2 linked regions of the Mus musculus genome follow. The protein of the gene in region 1 purifies or fractionates together with the protein of each later gene. This does not show direct contact. Links are inferred from orthologs where the notes say so. Each region holds a gene or a part of one and is shown in the gene's direction. Other genes may lie near its edges.

The links. Proteins that work in one complex are often made in the same cells at the same time.
Region 2: the proteins of Clcn5 (region 1) and Tmem9 purify together in Homo sapiens (co-immunoprecipitation; 3 studies listed by BioGRID and IntAct, with this or other methods). This does not show direct contact. The link is inferred for Mus musculus from reciprocal best matches to the Homo sapiens genes CLCN5 and TMEM9.

Annotation. Positions count from the first base shown.
Region 1 is NC_000086.7:7,315,797-7,321,286, reverse strand, and holds the start of Clcn5 (H(+)/Cl(-) exchange transporter 5), read left to right. Parts: upstream 1-1,928; 5' UTR 1,929-2,181; intron 2,182-2,798; exon of another isoform or gene 2,799-2,903; intron 2,904-4,463; 5' UTR 4,464-4,612; coding exon 4,613-4,628; intron 4,629-5,490. UniProt on the Homo sapiens protein: Proton-coupled chloride transporter. Functions as antiport system and exchanges chloride ions against protons. Important for normal acidification of the endosome lumen. May play an important role in renal tubular function.
Region 2 is NC_000067.6:136,031,081-136,035,896, forward strand, and holds the end of Tmem9 (transmembrane protein 9 precursor), read left to right. Parts: intron 1-2,987; coding exon 2,988-3,140; 3' UTR 3,141-3,950; downstream 3,951-4,816. UniProt on the Homo sapiens protein: Transmembrane protein that binds to and facilitates the assembly of lysosomal proton-transporting V-type ATPase (v-ATPase), resulting in enhanced lysosomal acidification and trafficking.

The DNA of each region.
Region 1 (5,490 bases):
ATTCAAAATTCACTGAGCATACATGGCCTTACTGAATTTTGCTCCCTTGTGTTAACATTGCTGATCTGCCAGGCAAGATGTGCCTACTGGTGTAATAGTGGCATGTTGATGGCCACTTTCTGATTGAAACCTTTATCACAGGAGAGAATTTTATGCCTGATACTGTAACTCCATGTCTGGGTCACTCCTTGGGTAGAACCTGCTATTTTAATTTAGCTAAATGATTGCCTTCCAAATATTAGTGTCTATAGCTATAGATCTGGGCTGTTCTCAACTTTGGTCTGAGGAGCTTCTTTTTGCCATGAAACACAGAAACTCACAACTGGCCAAAGTTCTGAGAAGAGACTGAGTGCTCAGCCCGAAGTCTAAATGACAGAATTCTCAACCCTACCCCCACCCCCAATTAGGCCTAAGGGCCATCTTAGAAGAGGAGATTGAAAGAATGCAGGAGCTGGAGGATGCACAGGAGTGCTGTAAAAGACTGTCCTTTGTCCACAAGGTCACTGACTCCTGAACAAGACCAAGCCACCAACATTCCTACAGAGATGGGAGAGGTGATATCCAGACTCTATTTCTTACTGAGATTCCATTGGTAGTTGATAGCTTCCCACCTGGGGAGAGAGAATTGCTCTTCTTTGAGGGTGTGACCTCTGGTAGGTTTTTCCTGGTCTGTCGAATGGTCCCACACTCTTGCAAATATGGGCAGCACTAACTGGATTTATTGGGTTACTAACACAAGAAATTTGAAATTATGAGGGGAGGTGTTGGGGGAAATATGGATTTCTTGGGGAGAATTGGAGGGAGCAAATGGAAGCGTATAAGATTATAGTTTATTGTATACTTGTATAAACTTCTCAAAGAAAAAAAAAGTCTACGGGTGTGGCACAGGTCTACAATCCCAGCGCTTGGGAGGCAGAAGCAGCTGAGTATCTGTGATCCCAAGGCCAGTTTAGTTTACATGGTGAGTTTCAGGCATCCAAGGCTAAATAGTGAGTCCCTGTTGCAAGAAAAAAAAATACTATTTACTACAGTGGATTTTGAATTTGAATACTTGGCTTCTAGGTAGATTACTTGTGTTGATGATGTGGATTCCAATCTTAGTTCTTGCAATAAATTAATAGCTGCACTCCATTTGTATAACCTGTTCATTCCTCACAAGGATAGGATAGTTCTTCTAATTATTCGGAATGGCTTTGGAGACAGAGAGACCTCAGTTGGAATCTGAGCTTTATTTTGTGTTTTGTTTGTCTGTTTTTGAGACAGCATCCTGCCTTCAAACTTACAATATAGCCTAGGATGACCTCGCATCGATTCTCCTGCCTTCAACCTCAAAGAATCGGGATTAGAAGTATATGTCACCTTGAGTTTTCGCTTGACAATGATTAAATTGGCAATAATACCTATAAGTAACTGCAGTATAGATTTCCCTGTGTTGGATTAAATTGGCCCCTGCAAGCACTACTGTATTTGATCACTATTCTTATTGCTACTACAGTGTGAGATTGGAAAAGCTATGTAACCTTTCTGAGCCTCTGTATTTTTATGAGGGAAAACGGATAATGACACACTCTTCATGAGTTCTTGTGAGCATTAAATGAAACGAATAAAGTATATTAGCCAGAACAATGCCTGGCATAAGGGAGGCTTAAATTTGTGGTCTGATGTCCGCTGTGGGCAAGATACTCAGGATAAACAGTTTGTTCTAAAGACAAAAGCAAAACCAAGGTAGGCAATCTGCAAACAATGAAACCGAAGGGAGCATTGCTTTTTTTTTCCCCCAAATGCAACTGACACGCCCCGCATTTGGGTTGGATCCGCCCAGTCCTCATTAAATATGGCTGCAAGCCCGACTACCCTATTGCGGTTGCGCATGCCGAAGCTCCTCCCAGCTGCTGCTTCTCGGTGGCGCTTTCCCCCCTGGCCGGCCCGAGGTGCCTGGAGCGGGCCCTCCGTGGCGCGCATGCGCAGACGCCGTCTTGGCAGAGCTAATACTCCAAGGCGCCTGTCACATGAGCCTCGCTCCCGCTCCGCTCCCCCTCCTCCCGGCTGGGCTGTGTGAATGAAGCTCTGCCGGCTACGTGGGGCGCTAGCTCTACTCGCCGTGTGGAACGCCAGAGCCGACTGAGCGCGCTGCCCACCGCCGGTGGACACGGGCTCCGCCGCGCCGGACCTCGGTGACAGGTAAAGGCAAATGGGCTTCCCTTCCCCAACAGGTCCTTCCCGGCTCACCGGCCGCCGGCCCACCCGAGGAGCCCCCCGGTACGGCGAGCAGGGAAGAACGCTCGCCTGCCACCGCGGTCCCCGGAGCTGGCGTTCCCTCTGCCCGGCCGCCACTGAAGGAGGTGGTGGACAGCCTGGTTCCTGCCAGAGCGGGGCGGCATCTCCTCGGCAGCCCAGCCCTGTTCTGGGGAGCAGGGTCCCCAGGCTGCCGATCGAAGTTTCCTTGCCAAGCGGCGCCAAGCCCACCCAGCTTTGAAAGCGGGGAGCTTGGCTGCCCGCGTCGCTTCTCCAGAGGACAGGGCTGGGGCGGCGTTCGCTGGGAAAGCGCAGCCGAGGCCAGGTTCGGCTTGCTCCTGCTTTGGACCCGCCACAGGTTTCTAGGGCTTCTTAGCGAAGTGCAGTCCAGACGGTCTGGGCGAAGAAGTTGGTGTGCGTTTTCGCCCTTTGCCGCCCAATGCGCTTAAGCTGCTGCTTCCAGAGGTTGGAGCCCCGCGCTCCAGCTCCTTTCCAAGTAATGGAAAGAAAGCTTTAGCTTTAGCTTAACTTTGACGTGCTTTTTACCTTTATGAACGTTTCAGAACAAATCAGTTGACTGAAGTTGGACGGGTGGCCCTGTGATAACGTCAGTGGAAGCTGCGCCGAGTAAATGAGGGGAAAGCCAGAAGGTGAAGCATTAAAAACCAGTGAGACTCCCCTTTACACATACTTCATAAATGTATTAGTAATTTCCCGGGTTGAATTTCAGAGCTGTTAAATTTCCCCTTGTTCCACGACGTGCTGATCAGTAAGTACTTCTTAACAGTAAAATAGGAGGGGGATGGGGAGTCGACTTAAACTGAGCCATGTTCCAGGTAAACTCATTGGAGCACTTTTCCCTGGTGAATTCATCCTTAGAGTTTAAGCTCTCTTTTTCTTGGATTTCAGGAGCCTCTCCTCATCCAAAGCCCAGTCTTTGTTGGAGTTTTGAGGACTGGCGCACACACGAACCCTTTTTGTTCTTTAAAGAAAAAGAGGTCATTAAAGAGGGCCAACACTATTCTCCAACTAGTATTAGCCTTAAGCGTTTGGGCTTTAGCTTTCCCACTTCAGAGTTGCACACGTTGGTTATGTAAAAATCAATGGAAGTAGGAATTCACCTCAGGACAAAAAGGTGAGGGCCTTTCTGGAAAAAAATACAAATTAGCTTTTATGCCCAATGAGGGAAATAAATTATTAAAAAACTTGTTTAAATGTACTGGGTGCTTAATATATGAAACTTCCAAACCAAACTAAGACACCCCCTCCCAAACTGGTAATCACACCCGTTAATTTTTCCTTTGCTTTCTAACTCCTGTCATATAACTGGAAACTATTGTTTTGAGACTGAATTTAAAAATTCCAAATTGATCAATACCGTTGTGTGTGTGTGTGTGTGTATGTGTGTGTGTGTGTGTGTGTGTGTGTGCGCGCACGCATGCTCATGGGTGGGAGCTTAGCTTTATATAGTCACTTCTTTCTTCCCATCTTTACTGGAATTCTTGGGATTGAAGTCAGCCTTGAGCGCCAAGCTCTTTTTAACTGAGGAGCCTTCTCAACAGCTTTGGGTTTGAAAATGCATCTCTGGGAGTTAGCTAACTTACTTTGATTGTATTAATATTAATATTCTAGTTTTATGTTTTTCTTTGTCCTTGACTCATTCCCTCATTATACAAACAATAGAATATGTTCACGATAGGAATTTTGCAAAACGAGGAAAGTATAAAATAAAGTGGAACGGAAGAGCCAGTCCCCCCCTCCCCAAACTGGTATCATCGCTTCTTACTTTTTATTACGCTCCCTTTTTTGTCTGTAAGGTTTATTTTAATACTTTATTCACAGAGTCTTCTGTGTTTTCTACTGAGGTGTTCATGTAACACTGCACCTTTATGGACAGAGGAAGAATTCATGCACCGGAGTGTGGAACTTTAAGATAGGCTATCACAATTCACCTCAACCAACCCTTTACTCAACCCAGGATGAGTGTCCAGCCCCATTTACAGCTCCAACCCCAGTGATTCACACAGGATCCTACAGTAGTGAATGACAGTGTTAACTGATGGTAGAGCTCCACTCTCTCACCAGCAATACCTCACTGCTGCGAAGGGGGGAAACTTGACGCTGCTTATGTATGCTGTCTTTGAAAGAGAGGTTGCGGGGGCAGGGGCTCAGTTTCAAGAATTTGAAATTGTTCTCTTGCAATTTTTATTCTTCTGTTTTATTTTCAGGTTTGGGGCCTTAGAATCTTGCAGAAAGCAGAATCACACACTTGCATCTCCATCTATACCCTCCTTTAAGTCCCCCTCCAAAACTTGGGGGGGGGAGCACTGGAAAGCTCTGAGCCTGTGACCCCAGTGTGGGAGAAGATAGGTACAAGATGGCCATGTGGCAGGGTAAGAAATTAACACTTATTCCTCTAACTGGTTTTTCCTCCTGCTGTCTTCCACCCCCACCCCACCCCCAGTGCCAGTAGCTGCCAGGCAGCTGTTTCTTTAATTTAACCCTTTCTTTACCAGGGTGGTGCACATTCATTTAAGAGAAGCTAGAATATTCAAATGATTCTCAAGTGGATGTTAGTGGGAAGCATTGAGAAGAATTTCCTTCAATTAAATATGTATTTCTGGGGATTATTTGTGAGGGGATGATCCATTTCCCCCCTATTTGTGGTTTTCATTTGTTTCAATCAAATTCATTTTGTAAGATTCTTGGAAATCGGGGGAGACACACTTTGCTGCCTCTCAAGCTTCCTCTTGTCAATGAAGACTTTTGTGGGCGGGGCGGGGGCGGGAGCGGGGCGTGGCATTGAATAGCTCATTGAATCTTATGTGTATATTTATATTGGCGCTAGAAGGAAGATGCTCATTTTCATGTTATAACGTACCCAAGAGCCAAGCTCAACAATATTTTAGGTGATAAATTATATCTCTTGTTGCGAGTTTCTATCTCATGCAAAGTTGTTATTTTTAGTGAGGTTGGACATCAGTCTCCAGGATGATCAGAATTTTCATTAGCATCTTATGATGACTACAGAAGAAATGCGGGTTTAAGAAATGATTGACAAAAACTACCGAACTATGTCTGTGACCCACAAAAGGTTCAGGACTGCTTACACGAAACAGAGTTTAAAAAAGATAGCTTCAATATCTGTGAATGGCCAGAAGCTAGATTTGTCTGTGAGGTTCATGAGCCTTTTAAAAATGTTCTCTTGGGTTTGTGATTTAAAACATGCACATACCCAAATGTAACAAACAGCTT
Region 2 (4,816 bases), on another chromosome or scaffold:
AAAGGCTTTTGCAGGCACTGAGCTCGTCCAGAGAGGGGAGCCTCTGGCCACAAGTAACCTGCAGCTACCTGTCTTTGATCTAACTCTGGGGTGAGGTGTGCCTGCTTCTCTGGTTGTCCATTTGATTTCCTCTTGGGAAAATCCAGCCAAAAGCAAAAGCAACTGAGTCCTAAGACAGGAGATCCAGGGGTGTGAACAAGTTCAAATGTGGTCCCATGAAATTAGGTGACCTTGGTTTGCGAGGCAATTTCTCCTTCAGAGTCTAAGTTGTGCAAAAGATGGAGGTGATATTAGCCACTTGCCGTAGGAGTGTGAAGTACCTGGGAAAGAGACCGGTGTATAGTGAGTGGTATCTGCTTGTCAGGGTGACATCAGTCTGGTTACCTGGGGACCTCTAGGGAATTGTCAACATTCATGCCCCACTGTGAGAGGGGCTCCATCCATCCCCTGCCCTCACTGTCCCCCGCCTCCCTGCATTCCTCAGCCCAGACCTGATGGGAGAAGGGAGGCTAAAGGGAAGACTTTCCTTGCTGCCCCACCCTCATCCCCATTCACCTGCCGAGCAGGCAGGCCTGAGGCCATCTGTGGGTCTTCTTAGGGAATAGATGTGGCTACTCTAATACCTTTTAATCAGACTGTCAGCCATGGGGACACAGAGGCTCTCAGCAGCAGCTTTCTCGCACTTGAGAGCTGTTTGCTGCGACTTCACCTGAGCGCTCCCAAGTGGAGCCGTGGCAATGTGGTGAGTTACAACATGCTCCCTTGACACTGCTCCGGCTCTGTCCAGCTCCCACTTCCTCAGACAACCCAAGAGCAGAGCTGCTGCATTCTCACCAGCTCCAGCATGCCCCAAGATGACCCCAGGCCTGCTCTCCCAGTTTTACCCCCAGGCACTCATTAACCAGAGCCCTCCAGGGCAACACGGCCTAGAAATGGGCAGGAGTAGGATTGTGGAAGAAAGCAGCCCTCGCCCCCCCCCCCCCCCCGAAGCTAGACTGGGGTCCTGGGGGGGGGGGCGAGCTGTTACTCAGGCGGGCAGGTCTTCGGTGCCCACCCCTACCCTACAGCCATGCTAAGAGCAGTCTGAGCCAAGCTGCTTTCTTGGTTGGGCCACTTAGGCAGCGCAGCCAGTCTGGGGAGGGGTGGAGTGAGGTGGTGGTGTAGGCCACAGTGATGCTCAGAGGCAGCTCCCCTGACAGTAGTCAACCTGCCTTTCCCCCTTCTCTGCCTCAGTGATTCCCAGCACTGACCTTGAGTGCTTTCTATCTCCAGAAGCTGACCAAGTTTCTGTATTCATTGTGTCCTTGAGACCACCTCAGTCTCCATCCTGTATGAGAGAGGTTGGTTCTGACCCACCTAAGGCCATGTGTCTGGTAGGAGTCAAAGCCAGGTTTTTTTGAGTCGGCTGTGCTGAACTCCCAGGGAGAAGGGCCCTTGAGCTCCGATCTGTGCTTGCCAGTTCTCTTGACAAATGGTTCTCCCCATGACAAACACATCTTGTAGTCACACAATGGTACTTGAGCACATCAGATCTCTAAAGGAATTTTGTGAGACATGACTAGGATTTTTGTTTTTCTTTGGGTTTGCTTCTGGGTTTGGGCATGTTGCTAGAAATTGTCCTACAGCCACAGGCATGGTTAGCTTCTGTCCTGAGACAGCATCTCACTAAGTGGTTGCCACTGGCCTTGAACTTGCTATCCTCCTGTTTCTGCTTCCTGGGTAGCTGGGGTGACAGGCCTGGACCTCACCTGGCCTGCCCATGGCACCCACTCAGTCTTGAGCATGGACTCCCAGGGGACCATCTATAAGTCACCTTAGGAGCAAGTGAGCTCAGGACAAATCGCCCAGCACTGTGCTTCAAGGATAAGGCTATCCCAGCCCTTTGACCCCAGCCTCCTCTCTGCCCTGCCAGCCTCTCTATACCCTCCTGCCCCACCCCACTCTCAAGCTGGCAGCTGCAGTGACAGAAGCTATGCCAGCTCGGGGCATTAGAAGCAAAGTTGCATTTACTGGGCGGCTCTGGGCTTAGAGGGGTGCACTAATCCTTTAAGAGATATGTGGCAGGAGATGAGAGGCGGGGAGAGCTAGGGAGGAAATCCCCACGGGCTGTGGGCCTGGCCCTCGGCTCTAATTCTCCCCCCAGAGATCAGCTCTGGGTCCTGCAGGAAATGCATGGGCTCTGGAGCTTCAGAGGCAGAGGAGTGATAATTAAGAGAAGACTGACGACAGAAGCGACAGAAGGTGAAGTGGGTCTGAGAGCAAAGGGGAAGGGGGACAGGAAAACCAGCAGAGGGAGAGAGAGAGAGAGCAGATCTGCCAAGCATGGGACTGGCTGACTGCTGCAGCTGGCCATGACATGGGAATGCTAGAGTTGAACCCTAACCCTAGACTTTCACCCCTACCAGGCTCTGAAGGATGTCCCATCTTCTCTTTTTCAGGAGAAGCAATCAATCGCTCTCTCTCTCTCTCTCTCTCTCTCTCTCTCTCTCTCTCTCTCTCTCTCTCTGTGTGTGTGTGTGTGTGTGTGTGTGTGTGTGTGTGTGTGTGCGCGCGCGCGCCCTTCTTCTTGTCCCCTGAGCAGTAGGACAGAGAGAGGAGGTGTGCAGTTGAGTAACTGCCCTGTGCATTTGGGTACATAGCTCTTGAAGTCTTGGCCGGTGTACATGAGGTCTTGAAGCCAATATTCAGTCCTTCTCCTGAGACTTAGGAATGGTTAGGGTGAGACCTAGACTTGAGCCAGCTCTGCTGGAATTGCTTGGGCCCCAGAAGATGCTCCTGACTCTTAAAGACACCAAAGCTTTCTGGCTAGGCACACCATTGAGGTCTTCAGATGACCAGGCAAGGCCCTCATGGAGCCCACAGCCCTTGGGGAATTCAGACTTTAGAAGTGCTCACTGGGGTACTTGGTTCCATGCCAGACTTTAAGGATCCAGAGCCCTGACCCCTCCATCCTCATTCAGATCGTTTCCCTTCTTATTCCAATGCAGGATGCTCGCACCATGGCAACAGCCGCTGCGTCCATTGGAGGACCCCGGGCAAACACTGTCCTGGAGCGGGTGGAAGGCGCTCAGCAGCGGTGGAAGCTGCAGGTGCAGGAGCAGCGGAAGACGGTCTTCGACCGACACAAGATGCTCAGTTAGATGGTTGCCATGATTGCATCAGAGACCTGGGCCATGGCTACCAGCTTCTGGGGCTCACTGCAGTCTTCCCTGGGTCTTCCCTTCAAATGCCCATGGCGTTTATCCTTCTCCCTCTCTAGAAATGTACTCGACTGTTATAACGAGGGAGTGTGATTGGGTCTCTGTAGGTCTCTGGGGGGTAGAGGGGAGGGGAGGGAAGGCAGAAGGGAACAGAGACATTTGAGGTGGCCACATGATTGGGTGGAATTCATCCCTCCTGTCTTCACCATTCCTCCCAGCTCCACATCTTAAGGATGCTTACGGGAGACGAAGCTGTGTCATCAAGAGCTCAGTGGGTGCGAGGAAAGTATGATCCAGCGCTCAGCCTTCGCTCTAGGATGCTGTGGTCCCCATTCCCAGTTCCTCCAGTGCCAGTACTTTAGCTTGGCCTAGCCCCAGTCTCAGGAACTGTTGTGGTGCCCCTGAGCCCACAGTCATCTCCAGAGTCCACCTGGAAGCCTGTTCCCCTCTCCTCGGCTCCTGGTCCACCAGTGCATGGCAGTGCCCATGCATGCCGGCATATTCAGCAGCTGTCACCTTACTCCCATCCCAGGAGGCCGTAAGGCCTCCCACCTCTCCCCTGTGACTGCAGCTGCTGAGCCATAAAGTTGGACCATATGACACAAGGCCAATGGGGACCGGAGTACCATGGCTCCTGTCCTTGGATGGTCTCTTGTCCCTGAATTTCATTGTATCATGCATGGAGAGAAATGTTTGTCTTTCTGTTGTCTATACATCAAAGAAGCCATTAAATTGTTTTATTTCTCAAGAGTTGCAGATCTCAAGGGAGATGGAGAGCCATGAGAAAGTGTTCTGCAAATGATCTGGTTAGGTGCGCTGTCCCATATGGGGAACAATACATTTTCCTAGGTGGATTCAGACATAGGCAGCGCTTTGCAAAGCCAGGGTGGACTCTTGCCACCTGCTGAGGAAAGAGGCACAGGCTCAGTAGGGTACTGCCTGTGTGTGTGCACACCGCAAGGGGACAGTAGGTGTCACATTTACTTCACCTTTGAAACTGCACAGTGCCCACCCGATGTCATCCATACCCTACAGGCCCATTAAATGGTGTTTCTTGCAAAATGTCTAAGCAAAACCCAGATGGGAGAAGGATTGAGAGGGTAAGCAAGAAAAATGTGCCCTAGAAGCTTCCAGAGTGGCCACTCAGCAGAGTCCAGCCCTGGCTCAGCCCAGGCCTACATGTGGATGGTGGGAGGTGTCAAGGACTCAGTCGCACAGCAAGTGCCTGTAAGGAGCTGTATGTCGGATCAGAGTTGCCGTTCTTCCAGGTTTCCCTTTGACCATGCATGGAAGATGTCTGTGAAGCCTTTGGTTCTTTGTGAGGGGTTGAAGACGAGAGAGTAGTTTCAGTTGGGAGTTTCAGTTTTTCAAGGGCTACTGACATTCAGTGCTAAGTATCAGGAGGATGGGAAGGGCTGGGACGTGCAGATGGGGCTTCTAGAAGGTACAGAGAGACAGTTCTGGACTCCGAAAGCTATGAGATACTAAGAAGTCTTCCTTAACTGGCACTCAGTCTCAGCTGGGGTTAGCAGGAGGTACAGTACGTGATCATGAAGGCAAAGCCTGGGCAGGATCCGTGTTGATTACATTTCTCTGCTGCTAGATAGCCTGGTGTT